3 linked regions of the Lepisosteus oculatus genome follow. The protein of the gene in region 1 purifies or fractionates together with the protein of each later gene. This does not show direct contact. Links are inferred from orthologs where the notes say so. Each region holds a gene or a part of one and is shown in the gene's direction. Other genes may lie near its edges.

Region 1 (7,846 bases):
GCTAGACTAATCACGACTACCTTGTGCGAAGAAAAAAAGTGCTACAAATATAAATGCAGTCATGGCCCATCCAATAGGAATTAATGTAGCACCCTCGCCGGACGCACCACAGAGCAGGCTGGGAGTTGTAGCCGGGGAATGATCTTTGGGCTCGCAGAGTGACCACTAAGTCACCCTGCTAATGTAAATACTGTAGTGTTAACCATGCAGGTGTAACCACCCTGAATCTGTGTATGTGTCCTGTTTACCACCTGTTTTGGTTGATTCTGTCTCTGTTACCTACTGAGCGACCCCCCTGGGAATACGGGGTCATGACCCCCAGGTGAAGAACCCCAGGACTAGGGTATTGGTATTGAGTGGTATAAGACGGGGCAAGGGAGATGCACTGGAAGGAGTGACAAGAGTGTTCGAAAAAAAGAGTAAAGACAGTTATGGCTGGGCTCGAAGAAAATGTGTTCCGGCAGTTGCGAGCTGCACAGGGACATGACATGGGACATGAGAGTGTGACCACGAGATCAGAGAGGTAGTGTGGTGTTCATGACAGTATTGAGTCTCAGTGTGTGACTGAAGCACTGGAGCCTTAGATGAGTGTTGTGTGTGTGAACCCAGCCTGGTGGTCAGGTGGTAACGTCAGCAGTTGGAAGTGGACTTACAGTAGAAGTTCAAGGATTCAAGGGAAATAACCCATACCCTTTGTGGAGTTTGTGACAGCTGAGGAGCTGGAGTTCCAGATTTCGAGTGAAGAAGCAGGAGGCTCCAAATTTCAAGTGAGGGAGTAGGAGATTCCGTGTGTGTGAGCAGGATTGTCTTTTGTATTTGTATTTTCCAAGACTGTTTCTGACATTAAAATTGACTCTTAAATTACAATAAATAAATAAATTGACATAGATCAGATTTTATTGTTTTTTAAGCACAGTAAACATCACATTTAATTTCTTCATAAAAATAATAATTTTCATAAATATCCTCCTGGGGCAGCACGGTGGCGCAGTGATTAATATTGCTGCCGCACAATGCTGGAGCTCTGGGTTGAATTCTAGGCATGTGTACATAGTTTGTATATTCTTTCCGTGTTCACGTGGGTTTCTTCTGGGTGCTCCAGTTTCCTCCCTGTTACAACTCCAAGTGTCTAGGGGTAAAGGGGTGTAACATTTAGGATGGGTTTGGATGCAGGGGGGTTTCTCGTGAGGGACTTAGGAAGCGTGACAACAGGTTTGGTGCAAAAGGGATTTGTTTTAATGTGAATAAGTGACTGGTACGTATAAGGACACAAAAACAGACAGGGAAAGGCAACTAGAGCGGTGCCAAAGAAAAGAAAATAACAAACAAAAAAGAGCTGTCTAATAAAGTGAGGGAAAGCTGACCTATCTACCAAAACAAACCCGAAACACTCGGTATTAGGCATCTTCTAACGCCCTGGCTAATCTTTACTAACTACCCAAAACCATACAAGACAAAAGGCACTCACCCATCCTAAACTAGTGTTTCTAATACGCAGACCAACTACATGTGCAGAATGTACCCGTAAACCTAAACTAACCCTTTACACAAAAGTTCACACAAATACACAAGTGAACTACGAATACAAACAAGGGAAAATGAGAGTAGACTAGGAATAGGGTACAAAAGAACACAGAGGTTGATATAATATGTTTGGGCAAGGTAATGGCGAAGTAAAGATAATACAAACAAACAAAGGTACATGGAAACTAACACAAACCAACAAAGCCGAAGCTATACGGAAACACACACGAAGCAGAATGAACTAAAATGGAGAGAAACAAAGCCATAGCAAAACAAAGCTGAGCTGAGCAGAACTGAAGTCAAGCGAAAGGCCCCTTCGTTCTGAAAACCTACAAGTTAAATACTAAATATGCTGAGTTCTGATAGGTTGAGAAGCTGATTACGTATGATGGCAAAGTGGATAAATTAACGGACCAATGGGGAAGGAGAACAACCAAAATCAGGAACTGTGGAAGATGGCATCAAAACAAAAAAACATGGACCACACCGGGACATACTGTAACACTCCCACACTCCAAAGACATACTGGTGGGTTTCTGGGAAAACTGGCCCTGGTGTGAGTGGGTGTATGTTTCTGTCTGTATGTGCCCTGAAATAGACTGGTGTCCCATCTAGGGCATATCCTGCCTTGCACCCGTTGCATTCCAGGATAGTCCGTGGCTCCCCCATGACCAGGTACATGATAAAGCGAATAGAAAATAGAAAATAGATGGATCCTATATAGATATCCTCTCAATGGTGTCCTTTGCAAATTGTACCTTATAGTCATGAATTACGGACTGTGGCTGGATTTGTCCTTAACCTTGTCCAATGTTTAAAGGTAGTAGTAATGATAGTAGTAGTAGTAGTAATAACTGATGATACTTTTGTATAACTCTTTTCATTCCCTGCAATCCCAAAGCACTTTACATATAGGCAATAAACATGTTGTTCATGCACAGCTCCCCCAATACACTTTGGTGAAGAAGTGAGCAGTTGTTTAACCGGTTGAATTAAATGGATGGTGTAAGAAGAAATACTGTAAATGTGCAAAAAGGAACTGGAATTCAGGTTTTGGGGAGAATAAAACAAGCTTCTTATCTGGCAATGTTATGATTACATGCACTCAAGATAGGTTATAAACAGCCCATATGATGTGTTACAGTAGCTAATCCATCACATTTACCAGTACAATCTCATTGATTCCTTGTTAGGTGTTTCTCATCTTAAACAATCATTCCTCTCTGTATATCCATACAAAGCTAAATGATACTTTTTGAAAAGCGTTTTGGACATTGTCTCCAAAACTGTAAATTTGTCTGTCACTATTGTATTCACATGGGCAGCAGTGTGCTTTTTAAGATGCATTAATCAGTTCTTAATCCTTATTTCCTTTAAAGCCTCCAACAATCTGAAAATTCATTTTTAATCATAGATAATGTTACAAGAAAATCATAATTTATTTTTATTTGTGTTAAGTATGTATGTGTCTTGAGCAAAATAAATTGTGTAAAATTAGTACTGTACATTTTGAATTGCAATTTTCAAATGCATACTAAGCAATTGGAAAAGTTAATATCAAGACTATCATTGAATCTTACCACAACTGCTCCAGGGGCGCCGTACAATGGCAGACCCTGCGCTCTGACCCCAGGCTCTTTCCCTATCTGTGTGTCTGTGTGTCTCATGGAGAGCAAGCTGGGGTATGCGAAAAGATCATTCCTAATGCAAGAAATTGTTAAGGGTTAATAAAGTGATATATTAAAAACAGCTTTATAGGTGTTGACTCTGTAGACAAGGTTAAGATTCACACATAACCCAGAAGCAAAGTACCATTGGAAGTCAGAGAAGTTGCCAGGTCAACCAGATAATGAAAGTTCATGTCTCCTCCAGCACCATAGATGATGATATCTCTTGTCAATTGACAGTAATCCTCTGCAGCGGTTGTCAAAATCCCATGTATATTTTTAGCTAGAAAAAAGTAAAACCTTATTATGCATATTTGTTTTCTAAAAATGTACAGACAGAAAACATTTTTTCAATGGATTGTTTGGATGCCATATTACAGAACTTAACATTTCTACTGTATTTTCACATCACCACATATTTCTTCATGTGACAGAAATATTACTGCAATAACAAATGGACATATCTCTTTTGTAATGATGCTAAGGAATGTTGGAGCTAATAAATACTGGAATGGACGTTTTAAGGTTGCTGTTGTAAAAGTTTCTTGATGGACCAGAGGCACTTTTTCTTCTGAACCAGCATCTAAACATAATGGTTTTAAGGAACAAATAATAGGTTTATTCCATGCTGAAAATGGAAGAAAGAAAACACAAATTATCGGCCATGGAGCCTTCTTCAGGTGTGAGACAGACAGATCAGTAAGCATAGGAGAACAAAAGCTCAGAGGAAGGGCTGGAGGTGGGAGCGGGGGATAGAAAGAGTGGCCAGTCAGGTAGTGTGAAGTCAGGATAGGTGTGAAGAAAGGTGTGAAATGAAACCTACAATGAAATGACGCAGCTACCCACCTGAACTACTATAATGGTTTTAAACTGTATTGGTTAAATTTCACTCTTGGCTTAATAAATCTTGCCAACATGAAGTTTCCCCTCAGTTTAACTGGTGAAGCAATTTATTGCTTCTTTCTTGGATCTGCTGTATTGTAGGGCTGCAACTGCATCATGGCTATCATTCTAGTGTGTGCTTTGTTGTGGATGAAGTGCATCACCAGCTTTAAGTGGATAAGAGTGTCTTCTAAGCAAATAAAATGTATTCACTATGGTATTACTTTATATACAGTATACTTGTATGCTAAACCTCTCTAAACTTGTGTCTTTGATCTTCAAAGATTTGTTGAAGATTAAGTGACTACCCCAAATATCACTGCCATCCCTGCTTACAGGGTCTCAGGTGATCTCAGTAGTTTGCAGAAATAAGTGAAGTGCTCATTATGGTATTAAAAGTTCGAGTGAAGTCAACGATGTTGTAACAAAATAAAATCAAGCTCCATGTGTTTATCACATTAATACAAAAAACATTAACAATGTATAGATACGTTTTTTTAACGAATCAGAGTAAAGGTTCATGTACTTTTTGTATGTTCTATGTGTGTACATATAGTATGTGCTTATGAAAGTCTTTTCACTAACATTAAATAAAGTTACGGTCGTTTGTACACTTCAAATCGAAGTTATCTGTTTAAATACATGCAGCGAGAATGTCGGTTCTATACAGTCTATACAGAAAAAAAAATGTAAAAAACGGTTCTTGTAAATTCTGACCACACAATACAGCCGCTTTAAAAATGCAAGAGAGTAGTCAGATGTTTAATCAGTTTCACCAAACGTGAGACAACAGCCAGCTATAGACCTTTAGTAATCCGTAATAAGAACAATACCACTCCTTGACGCGAGAGGGACCTTTGGTAAAATTTAAATCCAAAGTACAGAGAAACGTTTCCTGGAAAACAAATGACGAAGTGGAATGGCTGAATGCACTGTGCATACTGTGCAAATGAAAGTAAAGGCTGATATGACGTTTTACGAGGTAAGATTTAATGTCTTTCAAAAAGAAGATCTTGAGTTTTCTTTGCTTTCAGTCCTTTATAAATAAGACAAATTTAACATCGTTAATATTCAGAAAAATAATACTGTGCATGCATTTTTCTATTCTTTTGAAGTCACAATGTTAATATTTAGTAAATTACTCAAACTGTTAATTGTGAAATCATGCAGCATGATTAGCTTTAGTAAAATGGTATTTTATAGGGTACGAATACTTGTTTCAGGTATTAAAAATCATATAATTAGCAACGCGATTTCTAATGCATTTCATGCAAAATAATGCGCAATAAAAAGCAATTTTCTACTGCTAGTTTAATATAATGGATATATGCTTCTAAAATAATTTGTAAATCGTAACCGGGATGTGTTTTTAGAAATGGGTGTAAGTAAGCCTGTGTATTATTTTCTTCGGTTTTAAAATATTAGATCTTGTTTCTTTGTGGAACATATAGGTCCTCTTCATAAAAGTTGTTTTAGTCTACACTTTACACCGGGGTAGTTAGCTTGAAGTTCTTGAATACATTGTGAATGCTTTCTCAGCCTTCACTTTTTCATTTTTATGACATTTGTTTTGACCAAGCACTTATATTCTTTTGTCCATATCTTCGCAATGGAAGCACAGAACGCCTTCAAACCAAATGCATTTTAAAGACCACGACTTGTGGATATTTCCACAGCCTCTACATCAAACTATCAGTGAGCTAATTATCTTTTTTATCGTTTTTCATCAATGCGTTATTACACACTGGAACACGGGGGACCGCTGTATACACAAGTTCACAACGCGAGAAATACTGTTCAATACGGCTTCGTGCGAAAAACCCGTATATGACCATAGGCAACAGAATAGCGCAGTCTCCAATTACTCAGACTGTAAGCACTGGAATAAAGCTTTGTTTGGTTTCTGAAACCCTTCCCTTACGTCCTGTTTTCATTCAGGTAAGGGTCAACTATATTCACAATACTACTGGTAGCAGGAAGATTAAAATATTCTTTACTCGGCAGCTTATTAAAAACAGCTCCCATGACGTTCAAACCGACTTTTTACACAGAACACTGACACAGCTTTGTGTTCTGAATCTCTTTTTCTCCTGCTTTTATTGAATGTGGCACAATGCACTGGGATAGGGGTATTCTGTTCACAAACCAATAGCATTTAAACCACAGCACCCACAATGCTGCAAGTAAGTGTTTTGCACACTAAGCAGGTCCTCTGACTTTTCCCAGCTTTGTTTTGGGTTTTGGAACCTTTATTTTTTGAAGATAACACTACAGGTGTCACGTAGCAGTTCCTTCCGGGCCCTATGCATACGACGCGATCCAGAATAGTGAAGATACACTAGGGAAAAAGTCATGCGGGAGAGGGTCTGGAGACGGTGGGTCATGTCCATGCAGTGCTGGTGTCCAGGGGGGAGTGAATCCGGGGCGAACAAACAAGGCGAAATCCAAAAGATTAATCCGAGACAAAGGGTAGAGACCAAGGCCAGGGGATCCATCCACGGAGTTAAAACATGAACCGGGTCGGGACTGGTGAAGGAAGGGGAATCGGGAACAGAAGATTAAAACCATAACGGTGCCAGACGCAGCAGGACCCCGAGCTCTCATGATGCAGAAATCAATGAGGAACCAGGAGTGAGGTCCGAGTCTGGCTTTTAAGGGGGAGTGGGAATAGGGAACAGGTGCAGACAAGGGAAGGGAACAAGGCAGGGCTAGAGTACCCTTAAGAGGAGGGGTTAGCGATCGTGACAACAGGTAATACACTGGGATAGGTGGGTCTTCTTCATGACTCAATAGCATTTCAAGTACAACAGACACACTGCTGAAACCAACTGTTTTACACACCAGACCTAACCTTATACAACCTTACTGTGGCTGTGGCCCCTTTATTTATTTATTTTTTATGATTTTTTAAGATAACACTACAGGTAACACACTGGGATAGGTGGGTCTTCTTCATGGCTCAGTAGCATTTCAAATACAACAGCCGCACTGCTGAAACCAAGTTTTTACATTCTGGTTTTGGTAAGCTAAAGGACAATGAGCTTCACGATACCAGGGGGACAGTGGGTCGTCAAATCTCCCCTAAACAATGTCTCTTGTCAGATTATGATGTCAGTGCACTAATAATGTTGTTGAACTCTCTTTAGCCCAAATACAGAGGAGCCCAGACCCAGAATGTTACACATACTGACAGAGAGTGATCTCATTATGTGTGTTTGGATTTTAACAACTATTATTATTGTTTGCTAGAACCAAAACAATCTATTTTAGACATTTTCATCTTCAGCCAAAAAATACAAACTTGTGTATGTAGTGTGGTGCAGGTTCTCGTCCCATCCTGCTCTTTGTCCAGGTTGGAGGGTTGCACCGATTCTGAGTCTTGTTAGCTGGTATGGATGGGTTTGGGGGTGTTGATACCAGAGTGGTCCAGGAGGGGGTGCAGGTGTCTCGGTGGCATTCTTGTTTTTCTATGAGTCCAGATTGATTCTGTTGGTTCTGTCACGAATTTCCCTCAGGCAGGCAAGCGCTCCCACATTCCCACGAGCTCTCCCCATACCAAACGTGCACGCGTCAATCAGTCCTCTACTTAAACCCTCATCTGTCCCCCGGTCATTGCTCACGATAGAGATTCTCTCCCGGAGCTTACCTTCTAACTACGCCTTTGCCGTACTGTGACTTCTCCCCTGGACCTCGACCCCGCTTTTCCAACTACTGCTTTAGCCACTCGATTTTGTACCTTGGCCTGTTTTACGCTTTCTCAGATCCTGACCCCA
Region 2 (7,640 bases), on another chromosome or scaffold:
TATAAATGTAAGCAATTATTAATTATTATTATTATAATCTCTCAAATGTGGAAATACTGTACCACTTCTTGCTTTGTACAGTGTTAGAGGAGAACCCCATGTGTTTTGTAAGAGGTCTTTGTGGATCTTACCCTGGCTGGTTTCTGAGAGGTTGCTCTGTCACTGTTGCCTGTGTTGTCCCCTCTGGGAGTGTTCTGTAACATGCCTGTGTTCTACACAGCTGTCCCTGACCACGCCACCAAGCTGCAACGCCTGTCACAGATACACATCAAACAGCAGGTATGAGCTCCTTGCCGCTAACTCTATCTCTCTCTTGCTGTCTATCAATCTGGGCTCTGATTTCTTTCTCTGTAATAAAGTGGTTCAACAGCAGGTAATCCTCTTTCTTAGGAAAGTGGAAAGAATAGGCTCACATTACCCCTATGAAGAAAGTATTTAAAGTTTTTTGTATTTAACTTAGATACAGTGTGTCTTCATTCACGAACTATCATGATTGCTTTTCAAAGGCAAAATGAACTATTTCTCACTCAATTCCTTTTCAGTGATAGTCTAACCTTCACAGGGCAATTAACCAGATAAAATTGCTTACATATCTAATACTTCTTGTAAGACAGCAAGATGAATTTATTCATTTTCAAGGGTAAGGTGAAATAAAGCCAATGACAAATTTGTGTAAAAATATTGGGGTGGCCAATCGATAAAGGCTTGAAGATTAAATGTATTTTTCTCTGTGTATTCATGCACACGCATTTATTCTATACAGTATCCTCCAGATGTGTTAACACACAATGATAACGGAACAGCAACACCATATGCAGTAAGAGCATAAATTATAGATTGTCTTGCTTAAAATACTTCTGAAAATGATATGGTGTAATTATAATAGAATTGAATAGAGCAAAGTCATACCATACTGGTCATAAATAATTGATCCCAGAAAACACAAGGGTCACATTGCTTTGCATCAATAAGCGTTAATTGAAATAAAATTCAACAAAGCCAAATCCATAGTAACATTATGCTCTTTGCAGCGAAAGCCTCCAGAATTTAGTAGTAGCTGCAGCGGCATCATGGTTAAGGTCAGAGATCCCTTTGAATGCTGCATAGAAACAGTTATCGCCCATTTTGTCAGTATAAAGTCAGTACTTTCATCACTTTCCACTGTAGTGTCAATTATTAAAAAAATTTAAGTGTACTCATAGCCTTAAGGGCAGCAGTCCTGCCAGGAAAAGGAAACACTTGCTACTGTAGATTGTAAATGGTTTAGGTGTTTAACAGTGTGGGTTTTGTGGCTGCCTTTTCTCTGGTCTCTGGTCGATACCTCTAGCCAAGAGAGCCGACGTGTACACTAAGTGGCGTTCTTGTAGCCTTCAAGCAAAGATAAAAGTGTACGAATTTCGACATGATGGTTGAGATCTCCATAAGAGAGTGGAAACGGACGTCCGCAGTCTGGCGACTGGTGCCGTGGCTCTGATGCAAACACAGGGAGATTGTGTGCGAATGTTATATAGGGTTTCTAATGAAGACCCAGGTGGTGCTGATATACATTCTCACGCTGAACTAATGAGAGAGGGGCTGGCTAGAGGGCCCTCTAGTGGTGTACAGTGGGCAATAATAATCTGAGTGAATTTTACTGTCTTTTGGAATTAAAGTAATATTAAAATTACTGTTTTCAACATTCCTACTACAAAATTAAATCCCTTCTCTTTGGTAATCCTGGAATATCATTTGTTTTACCTCAAAACCTCAGTCGTTTTTTTCTTCTCCGCAGGACCAGTGTGAAACTCTATCTGAGGAAGTGAAGAAGCAGTTTGAAGATTACAACAAGATGGTATCCTTCTGACACTACTGCTGCTAGTCCTACTACTTTATGTCTCAAATTGTCATCACATGGAAAATGTGTATCAACAGTGTGGTGCGCATTTTGTATTAACATCTGCAAGTCAGCCAGATGTGAAGCAGACTAAGCCAACTTTCAGTTTCTGTTAATTGACGAATGGGAAACAAGAATAGGAAAACAGTGAATTTCTTTGGATAATACAAATCGCCAGTACATTCCAGTTGTGTTGTAATAATTCATAACACATCAGTTATGTGGTTAACCTTAATGATAAGTGTAGTAAGTGTAAGGCATTTTAAACGATTTATCGTAGATCATTGATATAAAGGAAGAACAGTGTTCTTGTTACAGACCATTGTGGCACTCAACTAGTTCCATCCTCCCACTGTATTTACCCTTTTATCTGATGCTCTTTTTTATATCCATTTTCCAGTTTTAAATCCAGACATATATAATCTTAAATACCCGGAATTTTAGGATTAGTCTTTTATGACGAACTGTATCAGTAGCCTACTGAAAATCTTAATATACCAGATTGTGTGCTCTGGATTTTTTACTGTTGTTGCTTGTTCAGAGAACTAACTAATTAAGCAGGCTATTCTAAATCCATGCTGACTGCCAACTAGAATCCCATTTCCATTTAGATGTTCCAGTTGTCATTTCCATAGCCCTACATATAATATAACTAAGACATACTGGTCCACAGTTATGCTCCTTGACTTCATGCCAGATGTTCCTGCTGTCTAAACAATTTTCTCAATGGGACGAGATGTTGAGGCAGCTTGAAAATGCCAGTCAGGTCAAGCCAGTAGTGGAGTGAAGTCCTTGGCCTGGAAGATGCCAGACACACCCTGACTTCAGAGGAGAGATGGATCGCCAATGGAATCTCTTACCTGTTTCACCACATGCCTCAGATCACCCTTCTCCCTCCCTTCCTGTAACTCAGAAGTCCCAGAAACCCCTCTTCCCTACACAGTGTATCCAAGATGGATTGACTTAAAGAACCCTTTGACATTATAGACATTGCAGCTGCAGTGTTTAAACAAACATACAATATCCAACTTGGAACGCACTGGTAGTACCAAATACTTTAAGGTTATAACTTCCATCCCATTTATCCTACTGGCACAAAGTGAATATCACGCTACTTACGATATAAGGTGTAGGTTGTTTTTGCAGAGCCTATCCAAATGTTATGTTTCCCATGGTCTCCATGGGGCATAGAGAGGGTTTGTGGACCAGGTGATTTTCATGGAGGGCTCATGAAGTAATCGCATTGTCTGCCACCAAAACCTCCAACTTCTGCTCTGGACCTTCAGTGCTTGTTAGTCCTTATCAACACTTTACAGTCACATAGGAGCTTACTTTCTTCCATGTTCTGTAATGTTACAGTTTTGAAATATTAAAATGAAAAAAGGGTCTCTACAAGAAATGAGAGATACCTGTGTTTATAAAAAGAACACAATAAACTTAAATTATTAAACTACACATGCCGTTTTTGTTTTCTTTCACTATCTAAAGAGATGAGTAATTGGTATTCTCATTTATGCCACACACAGTTAATTATCCTAATTTAATAAGAGTTTCCTAATTTGTCAAAATATAAAAAAGTTAAAGACAAATTGGTTAATCTTACTCATTTGGTAAATAGTAATAGTAAGGTTATTGACTTCTCATTTGTGAAGCATCCCACATCAGTTTCCACATGGTTGGGAAGCTTGTTCTAAAGCCCTAGAATATTTGTGTGTAAAAAGGCACTTTCTGTTTTCAATAGAAAATGTTTCCATTTCCACTTGTGTACTCCAGTCAGTCTTCCATAACTGGTGTACCTCCAAAATTATTATATAGTAATATTGAAATTGTATTTTGATGAAGGTGTAAATGTATGAAGATAATTGGTTATCAAATGTTTCTTGTTTGTCATGTTTATTGTTGAGTAAGACTCATAAAAGAGCCTAATTTAATTTAAAAAGGTGCTGTCTTTTGGATGAGACGTAAAACCGATGTCCTGACCTCTGTGGTCATTAAAAATCCCAGTGCGCTTCTCAAAAAGAGTAAGAGTGTTACCCTGCTTACCCTGGCATCCTGGCCAAATTTCTCATTGACCTTTACCAATCATGTCCTCCTAATAATCCCCATCAATGAATTTGCTTCATCACTTTGTTCACCTCCCCACTGATAGCTGATGTGTGATGGGTGGACTGGTGCACTGTGGCTGCCATCACATTATGCAGGTGGATTGGTGGTGGTGGAGGGGAGTCCCTACCTGTAAAGCGCTTTGAGTGGAGTGGCCAGAAGAGTGCTAAACAAATGTAAGGATTTTTTTAATGCTTTTGTATTGAAATGCAACCAATATGACCTTAGCAGAAAAGAAAAAAAGTTCATTGTGGAGGTGTATGATGCAATGCCATCCTCACACGAATCAGTTCCTTAGTAGTTGATTAAATATTAAGAGCAGTTTAAACAGAAATAAGGGTAAGGAAGTTGAAAGCCTTAACTCCTATAATGCAGATGAGGGACACACTACCCATGAAGTGTGGTGTTTGGAAACTCGAGATTGAGTAGTCGAAAGAAGCAAACAGACCATTTAAATTAGCGCTGAAAATTTAGAGTTTAGCAGACGGGAAGAGCAGCAGGCACAGTATTCACAAGAACTGAGTAACCACTTAGTAGTAAACGCCCGAACACCAACACCTGCGCCGCGACGGAAAGGGGTGCGAACTACAATTCCCAGCAGCAACGTTGGTATTTTCCAACGCTTTACAGCAGCTGTTACTGCTTGACGCTTAACAAAGTATTTTTCGGCAATGGTGATGAGCCTTACTGTAGTGTGCTGTTCGAATTAAATGACAGTAAAAAAAGTACTATTTTTTGTGTTTTTTTTAACTACAGCGAGGATCCCTGCCTGTGTGAGTATAAATCTACATCTCCAGTACAATAAGTCCAAAGTGTGATTTGATTGCTGTACTTTTTACGCGCTTTAAGTGCTTCAATAATCTTGTTCCGAACATCAGACTGGGCTGCAGGCTATTGTATCAGTAGTGAGGGATAGATCTGTAATTTATAGCTGAACAATTAGTTACAGAAAAGTGTTGCGACCTTAGGGTCGTGCTGCGTTATTTTATATCAGCACAACACACGACTAAATAAGTTATGAAATGAAATGCTCCGCATATCTCTGTTGCCCTCTAGGTGACGCCCACTGCAGTCACTTAATTTTGTTTTATTAAAAAATATATTGTACGGATGCCAGTTGTCCACAAAGGGGATCTGTATTTTGTGCACTTCTAGTTTCACACTTACCGCGTGACTGTTGCGGACATGGAAAAAAAGAAATGCACTTACCGAATAAACGCTCCACTCCTTTATGTCATGTTAAACGCTTTATCCAAACACTTAATTCATTCACTATTAATATTATTGTTATAGTCCGATATGCACGTCAACTCAATAATAAATGTGTTTACTCTTAATAAATATACACACCTATCGTGTACATAGCATCACTTGAATGTTATATTGCTTTAATCAAACGAGGTGATACACATACTGTTTTTTGACACTGCTGTATCTTTTAAATACCTTGACCAAAATAGATACAAATTTGAGTTAAAAGTAATAACTAAGAGTGAAACACGAAAAAGGGTGTTCAGTTATTGAATTGCAACTTAACAGTGCTTTTAGTCAAGAGTGTAGATCTGTGAAATAAGAGTTGTTGATATGACCGTCATGATGAAAATAACTTCTTTAACAAATTTTGCAATGAGTGCCAAAAACGTTGTCTGTACTATTTGGTCTTTATGTAATGGCACTACTGGTAAAAATAGGAGTGTTACCCTAGTGTCCTGGTTAAATTTCACTCGGGAGTTGCACTATCTGGTCTGTTTAAATGTCCTCCTTAATTGGCTACATTTACTCTGCTCTCCTCCCCACTGATAGCTGATGTGTGGTGAGCGTTCTGGCGCACTATGGCTGCCGTCGCATCATCCAGGTGGATGCTGCACATTGGTGGTGGTGGAGGGGAGTCCCCATTACCTGTAAAGCGCTTTGAGTGGAGTGTCCAGAAAAGCGCTATATAAGTGTAAGCAATTATTATTATTATTATTATTTCAGATAGTGAAGTAATGGCTGCCACACTTCACCCAGGTTGGGCTGCATTCAGTTGCGGTTGAAGTTGGTCCACACCTATATTTACTGCTGTTTGGGTTCTTCTGGATGATTAAAAACGCAGACATTTCTAATTCTTCACTAGCCTTTAAATATCTAAGCTACTATCTAAATTCTGTTTTGCTATTAAGTTAGGTTTTAAACATGGGAAATTTTGCTTTATATTTAACTGTTACGCTGCACGTGTTTCAGCTTTGCTCTAGCACAGACGACAGTGGAAGTTTAAAGATCAAGGAAGGGAGAAAAGCAAATGGGTCAGAAACAACACTCCCAACTTTCACAGAGTTTTTACTGCCGTTTTTGATCCTTCCCTAAACTTTTCACATATGTCCTGCGTACAATTTAGTGTCTTCAGTAGCTTTATTCCATATTAATAGAGAAAATTAATTTGTTACAACAAGGATGAATTTCGGAAAAGGAGGATCAGATGTTCTAATTGGGAACATAAGCATGCAAGACCTTCCTGAAAGCAAGAAACAGTGATGGTCTCCAATAATAGATCATTGTGAATATAATTGTGCTGAAAAGGAAAGGCACTGACAGCCCTGCTCCTTTATTGTCTGTGCAGTTGTGAGGCCGCCCAGGCATGGAGAATTACCGCAAAGCGAAGACGATGGAGCAGCCCTGCCCCTGTCCCTTCCCTGGGCTGCCCGCCGGCACACCTGAGATGAAGGTCAAGGATGGCAGCAAGATCCGCAACCTGATGGGCTTCGCGGTGGGGCGCATGGAGAGCGAGGCCACGCGGCACATTGTGTTCACCGGCTCGGGCAAGAGCGTGGCCAAGACCATCACCTGTGTGGAAATCCTGAAGCGGCGCGTGCGCGGGCTGCACCAGGTCACGCGGCTGCTCTACAGCCGCACGCAGGAGCTGTGGGAGCCGCTGGAACCGGCAGCGGGCCTGGACGGCCTCACCGTGCACAAGAACGTTCCCGCCGTCTGGGTCCTGCTCTCCAAAGACCCCCTGGACGCGACCCAGGCAGGGTACCAGCCGCCCGGCTGCTTTGACACCCTGTGGGCCCAGGCCGCAAGAGAGGAGGGGGCTGCGCAGGAGCCGCGCAGGAAGAGAGGCGGGGGCAGCGGCAGAGGGAAAGGGGGTCGACCCTCCTCGGGAGCTCGGGGGCGGCGCAGCGAGGTGTCGGGGAAAGCGCCAAGTTGGAGGGGCACTCACCACGAATGAGGGCATCCGGACAACTATCCTGAAGACGCCAAGTTCCTAGCCAAAGAGGTTCATGGGAGGAAATCTTCACCAGTTCCTCTAGAGGAAGGATATGTCGATAGCGAGGACAAAGATCAGCAGGAACTTGAATTAGTGGGCATCTGAACTTCGAAGGAAATATTACATGTTTTGTTTGAGAAGCAGAAGATCTGTCTCTGTGTACCTTAGATCTTCATGGACTACTTTCCCATTTACAAGTTTAAATGGACGAGTTAAAAGTGTAGACGGATGAAATTTGTCTTCTGCCTTATTTTTATATGTTGAACAGAGAAGAAGGAATTTATAAGAATGTTTTAAGTTAATTCAAGTGATGCAATAAATTATATAAATACAAACTCAGGTGAACACTTATTTTTTCACTGGATTAAAAGAAGAATTATGAAAAACTTCTGAGTATTTTATTAGCAGAGATATTTC
Region 3 (7,991 bases), on another chromosome or scaffold:
TCCTTTGTTCTGGGTTTTGGCACATCTCTCCGATCCAGCTAGATCACACAATGACAACCTAAAAAGAAAAAAAAGAAGGTCAAACTTTGCATTTAAAAATCAACAAAGCAAAAAAAAAAATCAGTAGCAAAAGCGACACTTACTCGCTGATATTTTGTACACGAGGTATACCAAGATCTTCAATCCGTAAGATTCTGATGGAGAAAATGCTGTGGCTTTAAAGACAAAAACAATTGGAAGAGTTCAGTCCCTTATAAGAGTGTTCCAAAAACAACATTTCCATTATTACCATTAATTGGCTGATTTCATCTAAAGAAATACTTATTTAGATCCATTTCCATGGCTAGTATTTACTCCAACTGCACCCTTCTTAAAAGATAAAAGCAGTGTCCCACCAAGCATCTGAACCCACAAGTTTCGGTTACGAGTCCAGAATCAAATACTAGTGAAGATTCCCAAAACTGTGTATAATTTTTCCATTAGCAAACACTCTACATAACAGAATGTGGAAGGAAATAATGCAATGTCCCAAACCCCCCCCCCAAAAAAAACAAGCAGTTAGAATTACGTTTTTTTTAAATAGCATTACCTTCTGCTGGACAGATGATTCAGCTTTGTGCAGGAAAAGCTCTGGTGTTTCTTCCCCAATTTTAGAACTTTATATGCCTCATCTGCATCACTCACCTGAACCCACTTGAGATCTAAAAACGTAGAAAGACTCAGGTCTTTAAGATGTCAGTTCATAAATCCTATCACATATACACCTTAAAGAGTTCTTGTCCAACATCCCCACCAGTACAGTGAAGCCCAAAGAAAAAGAAAACAGAAATACCTTTTACAAAAGGATTCCCTTTCACATCTTGTGAGAGCCGAAGAGTACTTCTCTTCATGGAATTATTTGGGATCGTTTCAAGCAAGTCATAAATGTTTTCATTATAGATTTCACAAAAAGACACCCAGACCGAGTATTTGGAGTGACTGTTCATATCCAAAGTGAAGCTTTCTGAATCCAATTCTTCTGTGTTGTTCACAGCAGTGCCTGTGAAAAAACAGAATACAAACCCAAGAGGAAAAAACGATTTCAACAACAAATGCAAGTGTCGAGTTGATTGGCAAATATTCCACATAGCTAGCTTCTTCAAGAAGTAGTATTGGGCAAAACCCTTGTTTGACTTATATATATATATTAAAAAAATCCTTTAATAGGCCTTAAAAGTTTGAACGTGAATACATACCTTCAAATATGGCTGACTTGCTGGTCGAATTCAATTGAGAAATCATGCTTTTCTGTAAATCACACTGCATAGATAAATTTAGATAAGTAACAGTATGAAGCACAGGGAATACGAAAAGGTAGTAATTTCGAAAGATTACCTCTTTTGCTAATCGCAGAATGGTCTTTTTGTTTGCGATTTCCTTCGTGAGTTGCTCTTTGTTCAGCCTCATGTATTCTCTGCATCTCTGTGGTTTAATGTCCATTTCTGTATAGATTTTATCTTGAATGTTGTTGAATATCATATTCAAAGATCTTGGCAGAAGGCCACTATTGTTTTCGGGCCCTGTAAAACCAAAAATCTTATTATTAGTTACTAAGCTACATTTGCAACCATGGATGGTTTGTAATAACAGAAATAGCACAAAAGAACGTAGAAAATCACACCTAAAAAGGTGAAGGTCTTTCCAGCATTGGTTACTCCATAAGTAAAAACAAGGGAGTTTCCCCCTTGAAGAAAGTCTTTAACTAAAGACTTGACTGTGCCATCAAAAACCTCCTTCTGTGTTGCTTCTGGACCATAAACCTGAAGAAAGTGAACATAGAAAAAACAATGAGCATGACAGTATAACAAATAATCATGAAACATTAATTTCTGGTCACATCCCTTACATCTAGATGAGAATGTTTCATGGGATAATGTGCTAGATCTGGGTTCGACAACTCACCTGTGAAAACTGAAACCGCTGGGCTGTTTGAGGAAGTGACTTATCACTGAGCCGAGATGATAAAGAGCTCCTTGGGGCCTTGAGGAACACCTTATCTGGATTCTCAATGCTAACGCACTCCTGCACGTTTAAAGAAAGAAGAGAAGAGAAATTAAATCTAGAATTACAAGATTTGACACGTTACAGACGGTTACTGCTCACATTGCGAGACCCTCATGTTAAGAACTGGACACCCTTCGCTCTGCCTTTTTACCGCTTACCTGTGATTCGTCGCTGTCCATTTCAGCTTGTGTGAAAGGTCTGATACGAAGGTAAACCTGCAAGTGTTCTCTCTCCTGTAAGCTGGACTCCTGGAAGGCATATATGCACATTTTAAGAACGGTGCTTAACGCACCAGTGGAACTTCCTGAGTGGAGGACACTCTGAGCTTTCAGAGATCCTCAAAAGGCATACAACCTCAACTACAAATGAATGCCAAAACATACACAATCAAGAGGTATAAACAAGTAATCGAATGCATTGGAAACCAAAATTTTAAAATAAAGGGCAGTTACCAGCAAAAAACAAACAGCTTACACATCACCAAAGGAAGCTTATTATGCTATGAAATATATGGCACTATATTTAAATGTAGAAATTTGGAACAATCATGTCCTCCCATTTCTGTAAAAATGTAATATACTACTTTTGATTGCAAATCTGTTTAGAAAAAGGCTACGTTACAGGGCTAACTTGTCTGTTACCCCTACGCTGGGGCACAGGGCTGTTTAGCTAACGTGACAATTACCGATTAACCATGCTTAGCATGTGATAGAGATGCATCATATAACACCTTCTTAAACTTTAGGTCAACAGCAATTTAAAATGAATTAAATCAGTTCTTTTAAAAGCAGCTTACCTCAGAAGTAACAGAAGACATGGACAAAAACTCTCCAGAAAGATCTTTTTTCAAATCCTCTATACTCACAGCTTCTATTTTTTCCAATCTGTCATTAAAGCAGGATTCCATCATGCTATAAAAATATGCAGTGCAAAAAACAGACATTAGTTTCAAAATTAGACAAAATTATAAGGTTGCAAAATAGTGGAGACTCTCTCTCTTTTCGTATTTGGCAACTCGGTGAATGTGAAATTTTACCTAACCGATGGAGCCCAAGGTTTCGGTTTCAAATATATGGCTGGGATGCCCAAGAGTGATATCCACAACATTTTGTGTAATGCCAACACAATTACTATTTTCCATCCTAAAACAATTCCTTTTTTCGTTTCCAATTATGACCCCACGTTCCCGTTATCAAAACAGGGTATTGGGTCATAATATTTAATAACATTTATCTGAAGTACTCCCTTGGACTAACTTTTAGGGCTACATATGAATTAACCAATCTCTATTCTAGCATTGAGAAATTGTATTCCTTTAACCTCTCTGCATATGACAATTCCCTGTGAACAGGAATTATTCTCACAGGTGTGCTTTGAACTCGAGGTCAAGAATCTTTCTTTGGTATGCTGACTAAACTAAACAATATTCTAAATCAGGTATTAAGAAGGCTCCGTAAAGTTGGACATAACTTCAATATTTAAATTCTACAATTTGTTAAATACTCATAAATTCTGCGCACTTTTATTTCTACAATGCTTGATATTTTGGATATTGATATTTCTCCAAGTCTTGATAACAAAGACAAATCTGTATTAACATACACATTCTTTCATGTGTAGCCTCCTGCAGATCTACAGTAAATCTATGCAAAATACTCATTGATTATTATTATTAGTGAAAATAAATAATCTAATATTTTCCCCAAATGTTTACACTTGTTTCTTATAGCTTTTTAAAGTTTTATATTAATTATCTCTCTGTGATTGCATTACACGTTTCTGCTTCACCTGTAACTCAGAATAATGTTATTAATTTTGGACCTGTTTAGGCAGACAGTAGAGAAATTTACTGCTCATAGGAAGGAAGTGTTCTCCTATTTTCTCCATTAGATGTCAGATTTTCCGAGTCCCAGACTCTGGTTTACAGATTAATATACTTTTTTTTCCTATCCACGCCCTTAAATCAAACACAAGGAGTACAGTAAATCTAAACTTGGCAAATATCCCACCCATCTAACTAGGACCTAGTTTTCGTGGAATTGAATGACCGATACATCTTTAACTATTAAAGAATTTATTAATCAAGCAGGAAAACACCCATCAGACAAAATGACACTTGACAATCAGCCAAACAAGCAGCTCACATGATAAACAATACCAATAAATTGCATCTCCCCAGAAACACCTATACACCGCAATCTCCTAAACCACTTTTACATTTAAAAAAACTTGAAACTAAAACGTAATTGCGTTGTATAAACCCTATTGGTTTTTTAGGGGTTAGAACTAAACTACTTCGGATTACCTCACGTTGTTATTACTTGGAACGGAAAAAAATAAGTGCAAACAATTTAAAAAGTCGCAAATCATAGCAACAACCATTTATGCACAAACATGAATACTTTCTGAAATACAACCAGAAATATCACCAAACTTACACAGACAATGATTTTTTTTTTCCCCCCCCGAAACCTTTTATCCAAACCACAGCACTCCGTTCTTCATAAATGATCGCGGTTCTTATTTTTAAAATCAACCAATCAGGCGTCACTAGCGAAGAGGGTCATGGGAAAGGAAGCGGAACTGGAAAGACGAAATTGTTTTTCTTTTTTTTCCAATGGGAATTTGTATGGCTATGAAATACAGCTTTATAAATCATGCGTATTCGAAAAAAACCTCCAGTAAAGTCCCCAATATGATTAACTGGAGATGCAACATTTATGTTAAATTCAATTATACTGTGTTTAACAGTGTTTAGATAACAAATAATACATATGAGCGTAAAAACAATCTCTTAACTCTTACAAAACAACGAGAACTGTACACACAGCATATTCAGAAATACACTAAATGTTTATCTAATTTCTTTAAGATGGACGGTATATTACTTAGCCTTTACTACATTTCCCATGCAGCACCGGTGCGGACAATCACTTTAACCCTTGACATGAGCTCTGTGTGTCTCACGTGGAACCAACATGGCTGTTTTTGCAGATTTAAACATAAACTACACTGATGATAAAAAACAGCTTCGGGATATTATAGAAACTGCAGCACATCGTAAGTATTGTTTTCAAAGAAAAAGTTATAGATAACGAGTAACTCCCAAAAAGTACATGGTGAGAGCACATGTTTGATTTACAGATACAGACAGTTGGATGCATACATCGTCAAAGTGAGGCTTTTTTACTTAAGTCAAAATTACAACTGTACTTCGCTTTGTATTTATAAAGCTTATTTACAGTGAGCTGTTTGCTTATTCTAATTTTCTCTCCTAAAACGTGCTAATTTTAACAGTCCCTATATTAAAGCTGGGACACTTCTTGCTATTATCCGAATTTAAAACTAGGCTCAAACCCTTTCCCATCTTTTTTTTTTATTTCTGTCTTTTCAGTTGGTTATTCCACGGTGGCAATAAATCATCTGATTGATTTACAACCAAAGAAGCAGGTAACAATCGGGGTACATTGTATGTCAATCATACACCATCAAAATATTTGCTAAATGTATGCCATTGCTGAAATCATGTTTGGTTTGCAGGAAATAAGGAAACCTGCTTCTGTTGATGAACTGTTCAGACAACTCCCTGTTGTACAGGTACTGTAACGATGTTGTTGTGGTGCTTTTCTGCATTTATTAAACTGGCATAAGCGTGCTGTCATTCTGTGTACTTGAACTGAGATGGCTAAATATGATGTCAGTAAAGTCAGCTCTTTTGTAGTACAACTTTGTGTTTTACTTTGTGGAGCTTTTGAGCCTGACAAGGCTGAGCTGGATGATGGGTTTGGTTCAGAATCTGGAGCACAGTAGACACTTAACATTGACTTGTCTACATCTGATGGCCTGGGACACCTGTGGGGTAACAGCTAAACAGCTTATAAACGTCACTGAATAGAGTTCTCAAGCCAGAGTTCTTCATCTTTCCAGTTTTAGTCATGGGTATTTTGCCAATTTCAAATATATAAATGCTGCTCCTTCGTTAAAATAGTAGCGCAGCACATTTGCACTACTAATTTCTCTCCAAGACAGACTGAAGAGTTTATAAACTAAATGTATGCTTCTTTTCTTCCTAGGGGAAATCCAGGCCAATTAAGGTGTTGAACAGGTTAACACTCGGAGTTTCTGATGCATCTCACTTTGTAAGTACAACATTTTTGCTGTGGAATGTGTTATAAATGACAGTGCATTTATAATATTATGTGATCTTATTTTTTTTTCCTTCTTTTCCTAGAGGCCTTCTGCAGATTTGAAGTATTATGACCTTGTGGCTGTGGTCCCTAAAACAGAGAAGCTGTTTCATGTATGTAGGAATTTAGCTCTTTTGTTGCTTCTAAATCACAAAAAGAAAAGGAGAAGAATACTAAATAAGTAGTACTGCTTTCAAATTATTCTTAACACGATGTTTTACTAATAATATTAAAATAGATAGGTATCCATTTTCTAAAGTCAATTGTAAACATATTCTTGATTAGAGTGTCGGTCTGGAATGTCCAGAGTTAAAAGTATTGTATTTACTGCAGCAATTTGCCACTTGATATTATTTTTTTGCTGATATGTGGATATGGTTTTTAGGATACTACAAATGTTGACAGATATAATAACACCCCTCTTTGCATCATTTGGATTTTGGTAGCCTGACAGCCATTGTCAGAAATGTACCTACTCGTGATATTCGTGTGTTAACAGGCAGCCTGCATGACATTTGATGTTGACATAATCTGTATCACTGTCACGGAAAAGCAGCCTTTCTTTTTCAAAAGACCTCCCGTAAATGGTGTAAGTACATTATACCGTACCTTGTCAATTTAGATAATTGCAGAATTTTTGTTTTCAAATCTGTGTGTGCCTGATTAATTAAAAACATTCCAACTTTGGATTATCTCTATTTTGAATACATTGATACTGTATATTGGATAAAAAATAATTTGGCTAGGAGTCAATTGGAAGTACTAGTTGGAAAAGGCAAGATGGGAGAAAATGACAAAATTTCAAGTTTTTTAAATTTAAGCATTTTTAAATATTTCAGTTATTAATTCAATGGATTCTGGACTAGGGTATTTGTCAATATAGCACATGCAAATTACAGCCTTACGTTTGGTTAAAATATGTTTTTGCTTTCCAGGCAATAGACAGGGGAGTGTTCTTTGAGATCACTTACACCCCCGCTATTAAAGACTCTACCATGAGAAGATATACAATCTCAAATGCACTCAGCCTGATGCAGACTTGCAAAGGAAAGGTATTTATTTCAGGGAGCATTGAAATATGTCAAAATGCTGTGTCTTTGTGAGCACAAATTTTAAAATATGCATGTTTGCCTAACAAAGACAAGTGGTGACAAGCTAATTGCTTTACTTTTTACTTTTTTTTTGGTTGCAGAATGTCATAATATCCAGTGGAGCAGAAAAGGTATTTTCTATAATTCATTTCTCTTCCTATTACAATTTCAGGAACTACTGGCATTTTTAACTCAAATGCTATAAAATACTGTTAAATGCACATTCCGTCACACATTGACATTTATAGATAGACACTTTATTTGCCTTTGGCTTCTCCCACAGAAGTACAAACACAAGCAAAACATAAGAATCACATAAAGTCACATGAAATCACAAACAACAATATGTAATACATAAATAGTTGAATAAATAAATAGGTAGAGGGGGGGATACATTTACATACCTTCATTGATATAACAGAGGGGACAAAGGACTTCTTATAAATGATTTTATGTGATTTTGGTCCCCTGTGGCGTCTCCCTGATGGGAGGATTATGAGCTGAGAAAGGAGTGGGTGTGTGGAATCAGCTGTGACTTTCCTTGCCGTTCTGAGAACTGCGTTATGACGTAATTCGTTGAGCTGGGGCGGCTGTTTCCCAATTATTTTTCCTGCCATTTTCACAATTCTGGACAGTTTGGTTTTGCTTTTCAGCCCCAGGTTTCCATACC

What was found. The genes of interacting proteins can lie anywhere in the genome.
Region 2: the proteins of nepro (region 1) and rpp25l purify together in Homo sapiens (affinity purification with mass spectrometry; 3 studies listed by BioGRID and IntAct, with this or other methods). This does not show direct contact. The link is inferred for Lepisosteus oculatus from reciprocal best matches to the Homo sapiens genes RMP64 and RPP25L.
Region 3: the proteins of nepro (region 1) and rpp30 purify together in Homo sapiens (affinity purification with mass spectrometry; 3 studies listed by BioGRID and IntAct, counting the BioPlex papers as one, with this or other methods). This does not show direct contact. The link is inferred for Lepisosteus oculatus from reciprocal best matches to the Homo sapiens genes RMP64 and RPP30.

The regions. Positions count from the first base shown.
Region 1 is NC_090708.1:33,935,115-33,942,960, forward strand, and holds the start of nepro (nucleolus and neural progenitor protein), read left to right. Parts: upstream 1-4,773; 5' UTR 4,774-5,055; intron 5,056-7,846. UniProt on the Homo sapiens protein: May play a role in cortex development as part of the Notch signaling pathway. Downstream of Notch may repress the expression of proneural genes and inhibit neuronal differentiation thereby maintaining neural progenitors.
Region 2 is NC_090705.1:20,166,745-20,174,384, reverse strand, and holds the start of rpp25l (ribonuclease P protein subunit p25-like protein), read left to right. Parts: upstream 1-4,619; 5' UTR 4,620-4,749; intron 4,750-6,575; 5' UTR 6,576-6,593; coding exon 6,594-7,184; 3' UTR 7,185-7,640. Other genes in the region: dctn3 (dynactin subunit 3), read left to right, coding at 221-279, 1,772-1,831, 2,571-2,660. UniProt on the Homo sapiens protein: May be a component of ribonuclease P or MRP.
Region 3 is NC_090699.1:21,222,296-21,230,286, reverse strand, and holds the start of rpp30 (ribonuclease P protein subunit p30), read left to right. Parts: upstream 1-4,970; 5' UTR 4,971-5,021; coding exon 5,022-5,103; intron 5,104-5,437; coding exon 5,438-5,493; intron 5,494-5,583; coding exon 5,584-5,640; intron 5,641-6,116; coding exon 6,117-6,182; intron 6,183-6,274; coding exon 6,275-6,343; intron 6,344-6,729; coding exon 6,730-6,819; intron 6,820-7,165; coding exon 7,166-7,282; intron 7,283-7,422; coding exon 7,423-7,452; intron 7,453-7,991. Other genes in the region: kif20bb (kinesin-like protein KIF20B), read right to left, coding at 1-58, 144-215, 590-701, 833-1,039, 1,236-1,299, 1,375-1,559, 1,661-1,799, 1,942-2,061 and 2 more. UniProt on the Homo sapiens protein: Component of ribonuclease P, a ribonucleoprotein complex that generates mature tRNA molecules by cleaving their 5'-ends. Also a component of the MRP ribonuclease complex, which cleaves pre-rRNA sequences.